2 linked regions of the Saccharomyces cerevisiae S288C genome follow. The protein of the gene in region 1 interacts with the protein of each later gene in a biochemical or structural test. Each region holds a gene or a part of one and is shown on either strand. Other genes may lie near its edges.

Region 1 (11,063 bases):
TCATTGTCCAATGCACTGCCACCGTAGGTCACTGTGCGAAACAAGCAATGCCCATTTGGTAAGGAGATATCAATTGCAACTGGTTTTTCGGGGAAATTTTCTTTAACTGCATTTCTTATGTAAGTCCCCAAATCAAAGGCATCTTGATATGTAAAAGTAGACAAAAAGCATCGTTTTTCCATATCTTCGAGCTCTTCTAAGGGAACCTTACGAGAAGTCAATCTTTCCAATAACTTCTTGTCTAAAACCACCATAATAATTTTCTCCGTAGACTTTTTTTGAATAATTTGCTCTTATAATAAGGCTTGATTAGGTTGTTTCTCTTTTGAAATGCGAGATAGTCCTTAATATTATTACGTACGTATATGTTATGTTAACTTATATGGTGTCAACATCCCTGTTAAGAGAGATAGTATGACATGAAGCGGGGATAAGTATCTATTAACTCCGCCGGAGAAAAGCACCTGCAGTGATGGTTAGATCAAGAGGAAGTTCGTCTGTTGCCGAAAATGGTGGAAAGTCGTTACCAAAATGGAAGCCAACCAATATACATCTTGCTTAGATTGTCTTCTGATGTTGCTTCTTGGATCAATGTTTCTGTTTGGCCAGCAACACTCAATACCAGGCCATCCTGCGGATCTATACCGCGGATTTTGTTTCTTAAGACCTTTAGCGCTTTTTGAATTGAGTGGTCCATGTTTCTATCGTACATAATTGTTTCGATCACATTCATCAACGCTACTTCATTTTTTCTCATTAAAGCCAACGTGACTTCACTAGACTTCTTAAATGTTCCTTCTGTCCCAATTATGCCCAACGCATCCAATAAATTTGGTGTTAGTCTGAAGGGAACAATTTCTGGGACAGGTAACCTTTTGCCTTTCTCAAATAAACAGTCGAAGTCTACATGAAGAACTTTACCCGTCTGTATATCTAGTAATATGTTTTCACAGTGCCTATCACCTAGACCTAATATATGGCCAACCATTGCCATGACGGCGTAAGATCTGGCATACGTATTCCTGGCGTTGAACCAATTGATTGGATCAGGAAAGTTTTCTAAAAACCATTGGTACAAGATTGGAGGAAATTTATCTACCTGTTCCATGTAAAACTCGAGTTTTCCATCTACTGCGGTGTGCTGCCACCTATCATGTAGACTTTTCAGGCTATACTTAATTTTCAGACTTTCGTACTTTGTAGAAAGAATAGATCTTAAAGTTACAACATTCGGTACCATTTCCAATATCCCACAGTCTTCTCGAAGAGATAGTACGGAGTAAATATTTATGCCCAGGCTTCTTTTTCTTGAAGCTATGTCCTTACTCAGAAGAAAATCCATTGTTGTGGCGAACTGCATATATTGGTTATCTTGTCGGACATCTTCCTTCTTACACATGATCCCATAAATGTTGCCATCTGAACCTATTATGTTCAATTGTTTTGGCTTCTTTAATGAAGAAAACACTTTATAAGATGATCCGAATCTAATTATAGAAACAACCGGCCTAAATGGTTGATAGCCCCTCATTGAGTTAGACTCTAGTGGTGAAATGATGTCTAAATTTTTTCTTACTGGAACAACCATTGCAGATGGGGCCACGTTCATGTCAAATTTGAAGTCTTTTTCTAAAGATTTGCCTGATCTACTTGTAATGCTTTTGACATCTTGCAAACAGACACGAGTTAATGCTTTCGTTAAATCCAATGCACTAGAAACTAGATCATGAGGATTTTGCGAATGTTGTCTATACTTTTCTAAAATATGCTTACCACGAAGAACTCTTTTTGAAGAATTGGAATTTACAAGGGCTGTGATATACCATAAAATATGAGAGGGGTATTCAACAGCCAAACTTAGCAGTATGTGCATTATTATCTGGGCCGATGATTGATGAGAATGTAATAACCTAGATAACAACTGAGTCAAAACAAAGTACCAAATATAAGTGGGACAATGCTGCAGCGCTTCTTCAACATGACTACATATATCTTCCGTAGCCTTACTCAGCATTTCCTTTCTGTTTCCAGGAGCTTCAGAAATTGATGCGGCCGCAATATCTAGCCAAAACGTGATAACTTTGGGCAAATTTTCTCTTACTTTAGCAGTGTTCTTTTCAAATGCCAATAAAAAGTAAGATATTGCCCTGTACTCAAAACGACCATTAGTAATATAACCCTCTGCTTTTTTGCGCTCAAGTAGTCTACTATAGTATAAGCCAATAGAGTAATATGGTTTATCCCATTTAGAATCAATCTGAAAAATATCCTGATATTGTTTAATAATTTGTTCGGACGCTGAATTGTTCGAAAGGTCTAACCATTCAGTAAACTTTAATAGCACGGCGGCACGATCGCGAGCATTAACCGAGGAATTTTCTTGATACTTTTCATGTATTTCTTGCACTATCTTTAAGGCTCTATCATTCTCACCTTGCTTCCATAGTATTTCAGCAAACTCCAACTCTGCCTGAGGCAACCGCCTTTCCAAACAATGCATTAATGATTCGGAGGCTATATCTAGCCTAGCGTTGTTTCTCGCCAATTGGGCTAAAGTGAAGAATGTTTTTCCTAAGTCAGCGTCTGCTTGTTCATTCATTTTCAATTGGTCAAATGACTTTCTCATTGACAATATGTAATGATTTGGCACGAAGTCAGCCCCAATACGTTCCATTCGATAATCGAGTATGGTAGTGTTACTTTTGTATTCAAACTTATCTTTCGCAGAAGATAAAAAACTGAGGTCATATAAACTGTGTAATTTCATCAATAAATTCTGTTTCTTTAGCAGCGTCGTCTCTTTAGATGACGTTATAAAATTTGTTCCGATAAGCCTAAAGGAATTGTGGATGTATTTTTGAGTCCTTAATGGATCCTCGTTTGAGATGGCAATTAAAGCTTTCGCAATATTGTACTGCAAAAGTACTTCTCTATCGTCAATATTTCTTAAACTCTCTATTTGTTCTACCCAATTTTTCAAAGTTTGAACATTGCCTTCTAGATTTGCAGCTTCAAGACCTATGCTGTACCATTCCTTCACATCTGGAGACAAAGAAATTTTTCCGTCTGAAGAATGGAACGAAGAGTTCGATATTATTTGAGAATACAATTGGTGGTCATACATAGACTTTAGCATCCTGGTTGTAGTTTTGGGGTCATCTGAAAATTTGCCGAGGACATTAAAGCAGTCTTGTGCGAGTTTCCAGTTTTCAGAATATTGCAATTCTTCAATTTTAGAAACCAAGTTTCCTGTAGCAAAGGTTCTCAGTACACCATCGAGTGAGTCAATGTCTCCTATTTCTTCGTATGTGATTTGTAAATTTTTCAGTAGTTGTCCATTTTGGTTCTTATCGTGAGGATTCTGTCGATAGCACTGTTCAAGGTATAGAGCAGACCTTTCAAAAGAATCCGTCTCTAAGGAGCGTTGAGCTAGCAAATCTGAAGGGGTTGTTCGCAAAAACTCATCTATTCTCAAAAGCATGTTAGTTGTTTTCGTATCTTTAATGATAAAAGTGCCGTGTAGTTTACTGTAATTTTGTTTAAACTCAGTTGCCCATTTTTTGCAATATTCGAAAACTCTGAAGATGGATTCATAGCACATTCTTAACGAATCCACTTGCAAGTTATTCATTCCTTCCAGATTGCACGTGAAAATGCTGTCAAATTCAATAATAATCCCGTTTAAAATATCAGCGTATGGAGTTCCTTTTTCTGCCTTGATAATAATGTCCAGAGAAATATAAGGTAGCAAAAAATTTGATAGTGAGCCATCATCTTCCCTAATCAAAGAGGAAAACACGTGTAATGGATGATTTTCTGTTGTACCTGTTTTCAATAAATCCAATGTAAACCTTTTCACCCAAATTTTGTATCCTTCCTTGAAGTTATTAGAAGGATATTTTAGCGGGACATATTCTTTCCATGATTGCGCAAGATACAAGGAAGATAAAAGCGGATAGATGGTTGTCTTGGAGACAGAGTTAAACTTTTCCCATAGTTTGGCTTCATTTGGATATAATTCTTTATGGTTCATATCCCATGACTCTGAACTTAGCCCGCAATATTTTAATGATTCCTGTATGACAAGGGCAACAAACAATTGCTTGCTGGGATTCTCACTTTGCCAAAACGCAGGAACGAGGATATCATTTATGACCCATATCAAGAACTTAATAGTTTGAACACTATCATTCAAATCATAAACTTCGTTTTCTGAATATGTTGTTCTTTTAAACTCATGCTTTGTAACGTCTAAAACACCAATCATACTGATACATTTGGCGCACTTCTCGCATAGGTCCTTGTCTAAATTTCTAAACTTATGAGAAGTGTCTAATAAAGCACCCAAAACTAATGTTATATCAGAAGTTTGCCCAACCTTCTTTGGTGTAAAATCAATCGATCTTTCTGTCTGCTTTCTCCGAAGATATACCTCTATATCGTCTAAATTTTGGTTTATGACATACTTGTTACTACTTTTCAAGTTATTAGCAAATATGGGTATAAGGTCCGTGGTACTTCTTATTTTATTCACCATTCTTGCAAATTGGCCATCACGAGCTAAAATACCTAATTCAGGCTTGCCTACTAAAGCCAAAGTAGTGTAAGGTTTTAATTTCAAAATCAGGTCCGATTTCTCTTTGATTAAGGTATCCAGTATACTGTACACTATATTTCGAAGTTTTCCGTTGAACTCAGACCACTTTTGAAGTATGAATGCAATTAAGCTATCTATAACAGTAGAGAGTTCTTCATCATTTAGATGGCGAACTAACAGATGCCAACATCTAAAGGCCTCGTATCGAACTTCCTTAAGCCCAAGTCCTGTTTGCAAACAAATACTAATCTGGGCTAATGCGGAAATTATTGATTTTTTGGGGGCATATATGATAAGAAAAGAAATGCCATTGATAACCCTTAACTTTTCGTAGTAAGTGGTGCGGCCTTCAACATCATGTATGTCACTCGAAAAAACTTGGAAAATACCTAAGATATTATCCTGTAGTTTCTTTTGGAACGCTTGTTCCTGATCATCCGTCCAGTTATTGATATTTTTGTACTTCGAACCATGCCTTTTGTCTTTTTCAAAATTGGTGATTAAAAATCGCAAAGAGCATAAAATCATATTAGCATTCTCGCTGTCACTTGCATCTTTAGTAACGCTGTTTTTGTAGAGCTTCGTTATTTCAGCTAAAGTTTTATAATCGGGAAGGTATGCAGTTATATATCCTTTGTCAAAAGTTGGAGCCCTATTTAAAAAAAGGGTTTCCAAGATATCCAAAGAAAATAATCCGTGTTTTACCAAAGCTACGGCAAATATTTGCCTACTGTTTTTTTTCAGTAAATTAACCTTCATTTGGTTAATTAAACTTGTATCGCCATCACACATAATCTTAGCAATTTCACTTAGCACATCGCTCTTATATTGAATAATTGCATAAGGGATGATATATCTCTGGAAAATATCGAGAATTGTTTTTGAAGAATATCCCAATAATTCTATTAAATTTTGAAAGCCAACTTTTCTTTCCACGAGGTTTTTTCCCAACTGTCTTAGTAATACAGGTAAAATAGGCGATAGTAATTGATATGGTGTTTTCTTTAAAATTTTGGCCATATTTTTAATTTGCAAAGTCATCATTATTCGTAAACTATAATCATCAGAATTGAAAATATCAATCAGTTTCAAAAGTAGTGTATCAAATACATCATTAGAAGTCGTCAATGTTAATTGTGTCCAAGCAATGACTAAATTTTCTTTCACCACTGGCAATTTTTGAGATTGTAGAAACTTTATCAGCGTGGCAGTGTGTTCATCTTCGGAATTATGAGAGTCTGATATATTGAATAAAGGTATAATTCTAGTACTTAATAAACGTAGGTATCTGTTAGAATTCATAAAGCACTTTTGTACCAGTTTAAAGCTCTTATTGATTTGACCGTTTCCATCTGTAAGTTTTGGAGGTTGAAAGTGTGAAAATATCCTATGTAGAGAAAATAAGATGCCACTTAACAAAGATTCGCTAAATTCATCTATATTTGGGTGAGATAGAAAGTTTGAATGAAGTATCCTGAAGATTTCTGATTTACCCGCAGCCTCTGGTCTATTTGGATTTATTCGCACGAAAGGGTTGCCAGTTTTCTCAATATCGCATAAATGACAAACATACCAATTATCCATATCCTTTGTGGAATTTGGCAGAGTGCCGGAAAACTTCTCTGATTCTAGACAGGCTAGACGTCCGAGAATTACAGTCCATGATGTTAGCCTTGTTATATTGTTTGTCTTGAAACAAGTTTGAATGGATACAGATGCTTCATTTAAAATTAGCTTGAAATCGTTTCCAGCTCTTTGAAAAAATCCAGGACTTAGCTGGTTCACGCGGTATTTGAGCAAAGTTCCTCTTTCTGTCTTGTTAAACTTCTTTAGTACTAGCAACCTTAGCTTTTCCAGCTGCTTATATCGATCATCAAAGGGAGAAGTGACATTTTTCAAGCTCGAGTCCGGCTCCGATTGGTATACCCAGATGTTGAACTTATTATCGTACTTTAAAGCTTCAACAGGTAGGGACCTTCTTTTCAAATCAAAATATACAATCGAGAGAGCTTTATTAGTCAACTGCGTGAACGGAAAATGTTCACTTTGTGAAAAATCTGCCCACTGGTCAATTGGGAAGTGGTCTACAAAGCATTTTGAGAAATCGTTAGAAATGCAAAGAGAATATAGTCGAAGAATTCCTTTGGCCATAGTGGGGTCATTATCCAAGAGCCCATACTTGTTATCCAAAAAATGATGCATAGTAGTCAATACAAACTTTAATTGTTCACAACAAACTAACGCTGGGGCATCCAGGGCTGTGGAAATTGTTCTATTGCAAACATAGTCCACAACTAGAGAAATATATTTGAGTTGGATTTCGGCATATTCTAGTGCTGCTAGTTCGCAGGAATCAAAGACGTAAAGAACAATCCTGATTAATCGTTGGAAGTTAAAGTCAAATTTCGTGAACCCCAAAGAAGAATCTAAGAATGCTATAGAGTTCCCAAAAGTACTATACTCCGAAGTGAACCAGTATAAAAGAATGTATAGACCCTTCAAGGTGTCATAAAATTTGAGAAGCTCAGTCTTGCCCAACAAGACTTCAGTCAAGGCCTGTTCGTAAAGATTCATGGTGTTCTCAAAATGTGCAGTAAGCTGAAACTTAGCAGGTTTTCCGTAAAATTCGACACATGCTTTGCACCAGCTGCCTAATTTTCGCCTCATAAACCATATTCTGTGGTAATTATCATAGTTCAGAACGGATATGTTGAGGAAATCATCTATCAGCCTTTGTATCTCAAAGTTCCCGTTGGAATCCTTCATAACAAGCAAGAAGGGGTTGTACTCCAACAATAAGGCAAGGGCGGAAACTGTTTTCGAAAATATAGTATCATTTTTCATGATATTGTTCCTTCTTTGATCTTTTAGGTTTCTTATGAGGGTGTTCAGGATCTTTAAACTCTTGGCGTACTCCTGAGAAGAAGATGGATCCGTGGGCACTTTTTTAATCTGCACCTTTGAATCCACCCCCGAGTTCAGGTCTTTTATTGCCAATATCAATTCGTCAAGATATTTGACGTGTGATTCCATGCAGTCTTGTGGGCCTTTACGCGGTGTATGTCGTTCTTGTTGTCCAGCCTCACTTTGTCTTCATTAATCATCTCTCTTCAAAATTGTCCGTCGGCGGGTATTTTTTTCTAGTTGACTAGTTTTGGAGCGTGCGTTCCATCTATTTGATTTATAAGGGAAAGAAGAAATTTATTTGAAGGATATTCACTATATAAATTTTATTTGTATTCTAATGCTTGTTGGTGAAAACTATGATCCATAGTTTTTTTTTTTTTTGTTTGCTTGTTTGTTTATTCTTTATTATGATAAGTACATAGTATGCTCCATATAGTTATGGAGCCTTGAAAAGGAATTCAATTTCAGTAATTAGAGTATATCAAAGCTAGGAGATTTGGGGTGGAACTTGCATATCGTTCGAAATCGATTGTGTTTGATGTTGCTGTTGTTGTTGTTGCTGCTGTTGCTGCTGTTGCTGTTGCTGTTGAGCAGCAGCGGTCGCTGCCCTCAGCTCGGCCTCGTAGTTCAGCGGCCTTTTGAATAGCAAAATGTGTGGTTCTGGCGCATGGCATTCATAATGTTCCCACCCCAAAGACTGTGTGATGCCGAGGCCTCTCCATTCGTCTTCTGTTAATATACGCAGGGTCCCCACTTCCGAATTGAAGTAATCAGATGGGATAACTTTTAGCATGGCCTTAGGTAACATCACATGCCTGTACTCATAGTTATCGTCTGAGTACCGCGGAGAATAGTGAATGGAATCTTGAAACTCCAACACGCGTGCTCTTTCTTGGTCAGTAAGCTTTCTGCCTTGGAAGGCGTGATAGTGATGGTACATAGTACTGTAAGACGAGAGTAAGTGCGTGTCAATCTAGTTGTATCCAACGCGGCCAGCAGTTCCAAGAACTTACGACAGAGTTGTAATGAATGCTACTGATGTCTGCTCTACTGCCATCCGCTGTCCTTTCATGCATAAAAGCTCCATTCTTTATTTATCTCATACCACGAGAAAAAAAAATCACCTGACATATTTTTATAACCCGCCTTTTAGACCCTAAAACAGATCTCAGGGCTCGAGTACTGTTTTATCTGAAAATTCTTCGAGCCCTCGTTTTGCACTGAGCTAAACCAAAAGAAAAATAAACAATCACAAATGGAACCCGAAACAGCACGCTGCGCAGTGTTTTTATATTTTTTTGAAACAAATGGCTTTATACAATGTGTATGTGTGATAGAAAAAATGGTATATTTCGAGTGACTTGTGATCCTATTCCCAAGCCCTATAGGAGCTATTTCAAATTGCGTGTGTGAAAGCGTGTGTGTGTGTGTGTGTGTGGAATTGTGCGGACGTTCCTCTTCTTTTATACATATAATTTTTATATATACAAAGGGTTCAGTTTGCATATGCATAGCAACGTATTTGTTGGTGTCAAACCAGGCTTTAATCATAAACAGCACAGCAAAAAGTCACGTTTCCTAGAAAATGTCTCTAGTCATTCACCAGAACTGCCTAGTAACTATGATTACGTTTTGCTTCCTATAACAACGCCAAGATATAAGGAAATAGTTGGGCAAGTTTTCAAAGATTTCCAAAGACAATCCATACAGAACTGGAAACCGCTTCAAATTCCTGAACCGCAGTTGCAGGATATCTGTATACCCCCGTTCAACGTCAAGAAGCTAGACAATGACGATACGCCGTCTTACATAGGGCTGTTATCCTCTTGGCTGGAGCTGGAGAGTCGCGATCCAAATGTAAGAGATCTTGGCTTAAAGGTCCTTCTAAACGAATGTAAGTACGCGAGGTTTGTTGGAATCAATAAGCTAATATTGGCGCCTCCACGGGACCTGTCCAACCTGCAATTGTATGGACAGATGATTTACAGGCTCCTGCAAAATCGCATCGTCTTTGCTGCGCCTGCGTTAACCATATCCATTTCTCTGCCACTTTACGAAGACAGCGATCCATTGGCCACTTGGGAACTGTGGAATACCGTGCGGAAACAATGCGAATATCATCCCTCTTTGACTATCTCTTTGGCTTTGCCAAGAACCAGGACTCCTTCGTATGTGCTGAATAGATGGTTAGCCGAACCCGTCTCGTGTCTTTTGGTATCTTCATCCATCTTTGCCAGTAATCAGTACGATTATCCCGTTTTACACAAGTTTAACCAGAATTTGATTTTAAAGTTCCAAAAGGTTAATGGAGATTCACAAATTTTGGGTAATGAATTATGCGTGATATTGCATGGGATGGAGAAATATGCCAATAATGTTAAGGGCGGAGAATCTGCCTATTTGGAATATATAAACTACTTATTGAAAAAGGGCGACAAAGTATTAAATTCCAATAGTAATCACCAATTTTTGCTCCAAGAGGACTCTCGGATAATGCCGCCTCTGAAACCTCATTCAGATAATTTATTAAATTCCACATATTTGACTTTTGAAAAAGATTTGGTGAAGTACGATCTTTACGAATCTGCCATATTAGAGGCGCTTCAAGATCTTGCTCCTCGAGCGAGTGCCAAGAGACCGTTGGTGATCCTAGTAGCCGGTGCGGGAAGAGGACCTTTAGTGGATCGAACTTTTAAGATAATATCAATGTTGTTTATGGATAGTAAGGTTTCTATAATTGCCATTGAAAAAAATCCACAGGCATATCTGTACTTGCAAAAAAGAAATTTCGACTGTTGGGATAATAGAGTGAAATTAATCAAGGAGGATATGACCAAATGGCAAATCAACGAGCCGTCGGAAAAGCGTATTCAGATAGATCTGTGCATAAGTGAACTGCTGGGTTCGTTCGGTTGCAATGAATTATCACCAGAATGTCTCTGGTCTATTGAAAAATATCATTCCCACAATGACACAATTTTCATACCGAGGTCATACTCTTCATACATAGCACCCATTTCGTCACCATTATTCTACCAAAAACTCTCACAAACAAATCGCTCTTTGGAGGCGCCCTGGATAGTCCATAGAGTGCCATACTGTATATTATCCTCAAGGGTAAATGAAGTGTGGCGGTTCGAGCATCCCATGGCCCAAAAAGATACTGTCCAAGACGAAGATGATTTTACAGTTGAATTTTCTCAAAGTTCATTAAATGAGTTCAAGATAAAGCACCGCGGCGAAATCCATGGCTTTATCGGATTCTTCTCGGCAAACTTATATAACAATATATTCTTGTCAACTTTGCCCAATGACAGCACAGTCCGTTTAAAATTTAGCGAAGAAACGTTGATGAATACCAGACGAGAAGAAAATCTAATCAAGAAATGTGACCATACACCAAATATGACCTCGTGGTCTCCAATTATCTTTCCTTTGAAGCAACCAATATCCTTTATAGATGACTCCGAACTTTCTGTGCTGATGTCTCGGATACACTCCGATACAGAACAAAAAGTTTGGTATGAATGGTCTTTGGAGAGTTTCATATACCTTATGT
Region 2 (4,513 bases), on another chromosome or scaffold:
ATTTGCTGTTTGTTGTCAGAGAAACAATAAGCTTCGTGACTTTAAAAAGCTTGAAATCATCAAAACAAGACCAAGTAAATTGAATAATATAAAGTAACGCCAGTAGAGTTATGGGTTCACCTGTCATTGCGGTTGAATTAATCTTGTCTAATAGCAAATTTTTCCATAAATTTGTAGGGTATAATAGAAGTAGCAAAGAATTTTGCCTTTTAAAAAAATCTTTAATAATGACAGACAACAAATTTTTCAAAAACTGAAGGTTATAATCATATTTAAGTAAAAGAAAATTTGGGAGATGATTAAAGTCACCATTCAGGTTCAAAAAATTTGTTAACAGTTGCAGTTGTAGATCAATATTATTTCGATCGTCTGTAAAAACTACTGCTTTTTGAGTAGGAAAAGTATTAGTTAGAATATTCCATGTCAAATGTCCCAAAAACCTTTGATTTTCAGACTGAGTGTTGTAATTATCAAAACAATAAAATGTATCATTAATGAACGGCAAATTAGAATTTGCATTGGCGCTGGAACTCGCATTCATATTTGTCAAACGGACGACCTCTTTTTCTAGTAGTTCTGTATACCCCTTTGGAAGACCTCTCCTCGACAGTTTATCCGAGGTTTTGCAAGGGAAGTCAATTTTCGCACAGTTTGAACAGTTCGGTTTTAAACCGTCACACTTGATTTTTTTCAGTCTGCATCTATCGCAAGCATGCGCCTTTCTGACAGAGAAATCAGTGATTGCGTTAGAGGAGCTTTGACCGGTTGGTACTATCAGGACTTTATTGCTGCAGGAATCTGTATCATCGAGGGAATAAGACCTGCCATATTTCCTCTTGGCCATCGTCTATTCAGAGTAGCGAGAAGAAAAAAAGAAGCAAAAAAAAAAAAAAAAAACGAGCAAAAGAAATCGAGCAAAGGAGAATGAGCAAAGGATAAACGGAAAACAATGGTAAAGAGGATTAGCCGCTGAACTAGATTGTAAATTGAAGCGGAAAAGAAAACAAAGGAGAGGAAATCGGAGAGGCAGAAAGCTTTCTGCCTTATATACTTTTTTTTTTGCCGCCGAGTTCTGAGATCACGCCCTTAAATTTAGCCGCCAAAACACCGGTCGAACGGCGAAAATGGATCGGAGTCTTGATTGCACCCACACCTCGCATTTTGTGCACTAACATAAAATATGACGAAGTGAGAGTCATGACACACAGAATAACTTAAAAATACTTGAGGAAAAAGTTCTCATATTATGAGGTCATAATAACTACATCGTTATTGTTGCGATATAACTTCAATGTTTTCTGCCTGCAAAAGAATCCTTCCTTTTCCTTCTTTAATTGAAGAGTCCATGTAACCTTGTTTCGTTACTTATATTTATTCACCTTTCTACTTTAGTCACATAACGTAATCTGGGCATAATCATTGAGGTATCATTATTAGCTTGAACTCGTGGTTCCTATTGTCGCCAGGTTTCTTTCAACGCATTTGCTCTTTCCGCTTCGCATACGGCGGTGATCAAATGCAAAACTTACCCTCATCAGTATAAGAGAAGAAAAACTGCATGGACTATTCGCGTATTGCCTGGTAAAGCTATATAGTACTATTGGTAATGTTTGTACTGTTTTATGTACATGATGAATAAGAAGAGACAAATTTTACGTGATATATAAGTCTTCTATTTCTAGTATGGCAGGTATTTTATCAGTAGCATTAATATTACTATGAAGCCCTTTCAAGGAATAACATTTTGTCCGACTGCAATAAATAATGAAATCTTAGCTAAAAAAATATCAAAGAAAATTATTAAGTTAGGAGGTATATTTTCTAAAGATTTGACCAGACAAGTTAATGTCCTTGTTGTTGGGTCCACCACCAATACAAACAAATTTAAATTTGCGGTGAAGCATAGATTCGATATCATATTTATTGACATTCAAGCCATTGATGACATTTATCAGCTCTGGCTGTCTGGAGAAAATATATTGCCGGACTCTAATACGGCAACAATGACAGGATCCACCTATGAGATGCTGAAGATACTTTACCGGCGATTTTCGTTTAAATATTTGCATAACTTCAATATCTTCATTGGCAGAATAACCGACACTAACATAACTTCCATCGATTCATTGGTTAGGAGTATTAAAAAGTTAGGGTGTTCTAGTTATAACTATCAAAACTTTGTAATCAAAGATACCTCTTCACACAATGATGACGATGATCAAGGTCAGAATGGGCAGATATCCATTTTTGTTACGGATACTTTACTAGGAGCAAGAGTTAACGCTGCTATTGAACAAAATATACCTATTGTACATTTCAAATGGATTCTCGATTGCCAAAAAAGAAGCGCACTGTTACCGTACGATCCCTATTATCTTTTACCAAATATTAAAGACCTGCCCTATGATTCAATCGGATCAAACTCTTGCGATTGCTGGGATAAAATAAACACCACCTTTCCAACCAATATCGATGCCCAATCCTCTCTGCAGCGGCAGCAATCCTCCAGTACCCTGACTCCTTCGCTCCCGAAAACATCATCCCTCTTGAATAAATTTAAACCAAAGGGTGAAAAAATATGGGACAAGGCAATGTCTCTACAGCAGCATAGTAAGACAAATTTTTCAGTACTAGGGCAGTCACCATTATCGATAAATAACAAACAAGAAGATTTAAGTGATAATAGTACTTTGATTTTCAAAAATTGTGCGTTTATCATTCATCATATTTTTCCTGGCAATCACCGTTCAATACTAACCAAAATTGTTGTTCAAAATGGGGGTAAAATTGAGACGTCTTACTTGAGCGGCATTTACGATCATTCTTATTACATCATTCCAAGTAATAAAGCTCTTGACTCCTTCAATGATTTACCTGAGATTATAGATGATAATGATGGTATAGTTACAGAATTTTTCATTGAACGCTGCTTGTATTATCAAAAATTACTACACCCAATAGATTTATGGTCAAAACCCTTCCTCAGCACAATAGAGTTTCAAGTTTCGTCTTCTTCAAAGTTATTGCATCATGAATTTTCTTCTTCCCCTTTTCTGAATGTTACTATCACTGGATTCTCTGGCGTAGAGCTGTTACATCTGACTAAAGTATTAAATCTTCTAAAACCAATGGGCATCAATTATGTAGAATACCTCAATAAATCCACTGACATTCTGCTAATCAACTTAGCAGCTTTACCCAGTATCCCGAAAACCCATCCGTTATGGTCGAATGAATTTAGCGATCTTTTTACTCAGTTTTGCATTAATAACAATAATGATGATCCTGGTGATAATAACAGAAAAGATTTTCAAAATAATTCAATCTTGAGAAATTCGATGAAAAGGAAAATTGAATATATCAAGAAATTCCACTCCATACCGGTAGTTACTCCAGCATTTATTTTTAAATTATTGTCCGCTGCATCTGGAGAAAATAATGAAATCTTTTTAAACAATATCAAGTGGTGTATTATCTGCCCAAGAGGACACAAGGACGATTTTAAATGTAAGATAAAAAAACCATACTATACCAGCATTAGTTCAGAAAAAAAGTACCAAAACAATGATCCAAAAATCGACAAAACTATTCTTTTGAAAAGAAACAATTCCTCATTATCGGAGCACTCTATGAAAGATACCAAAAACGAATTATTGCAGAAAATTAGAGAAACTGATTCTGGAAGAAAAAAGCGTAGTGTCTCATCGAGTATCATGGATGTTTCTTCAGAGAGACAAATGCCGGATACGAAAAGGATCAAGTTGGAGTCACTGCCAAAAAATTTCGTTCCTAAACAAATTAAACGAACCACGAGTTGGGGCACAATAATGTCAGAAAATGTGCCTACAGAGCAGCCGACTGCAATTTCTAATCCAGAAGAGATCCCAAGAACTGAGGAAGTTTCACATACTCAAGTTACCTATGGCTCCATTCAAGATAAGAAACGTACTGCCTCTTTAGAAAAACCTATGAGACGACAGACAAGAAATCAGACAAAGGAATTAGATTCTTGAAATGTAGTCCGTAATTTTATAAGATATTCATTTACATACGCCATCTACAGCATTATTCAAATCTACTCATCTATATGTATTACCGTTTTGTATGATAATACTTTCCATGACATGCTCGCGTGAAAAAACAGCATGAGAAAAAGAGGATCGCAATAAGAAGACACGTAAATATCTAAATAAATGGCAACAGTACATCAGAAGAATATGTCGACTTTAAAACAGAGAAAAGAGGACTTTGTGACAGGGCTCAATGGCGGTTCTATAACAGAAATTAACGCAGTGACATCAATTGCTTTGGTAACTTACATATCATGGAACTTATTGAAAAATTCCAACCTTATGCCTCCTGGCATTTCCAGCGTGCAATACATAATTGATTTTGCATTGAACTGGGTTGCTTTGCTTCTATCTATTACTATTTATGCTAGTGAACCATACCTTCTAAACACGCTAATACTGTTACCTTGTTTGCTCGCATTCATATATGGAAAATTTACTAG

The links. Proteins that work in one complex are often made in the same cells at the same time.
Region 2: the proteins of MEC1 (region 1) and DPB11 form a complex in vitro, tested with the Saccharomyces cerevisiae proteins (3 studies listed by BioGRID, with this or other methods).

Annotation. Positions count from the first base shown.
Region 1 is NC_001134.8:502,235-513,297, reverse strand, and holds MEC1 (protein kinase MEC1), read right to left. Parts: upstream 7,631-11,063; coding exon 524-7,630; downstream 1-523. Other genes in the region: YBR137W (uncharacterized protein), read right to left, coding at 1-254; cyclin-dependent protein kinase regulatory subunit CKS1, read right to left, coding at 7,992-8,444; HSL7 (protein arginine N-methyltransferase), read left to right, coding at 9,011-11,063. UniProt on the Saccharomyces cerevisiae protein: Serine/threonine protein kinase which activates checkpoint signaling upon genotoxic stresses such as ionizing radiation (IR), ultraviolet light (UV), or DNA replication stalling, thereby acting as a DNA damage sensor.
Region 2 is NC_001142.9:262,257-266,769, reverse strand, and holds DPB11 (protein kinase activating protein DPB11), read left to right. Parts: upstream 1-1,718; coding exon 1,719-4,013; downstream 4,014-4,513. Other genes in the region: SIP4 (Sip4p), read right to left, coding at 1-844; GWT1 (glucosaminyl-phosphotidylinositol O-acyltransferase), read left to right, coding at 4,218-4,513. UniProt on the Saccharomyces cerevisiae protein: Has a role in the initiation of DNA replication. Required at S-phase checkpoint. Required for the association of PSF1 with origins. Also required for the proper activation of RAD53 in response to DNA damage and replication blocks.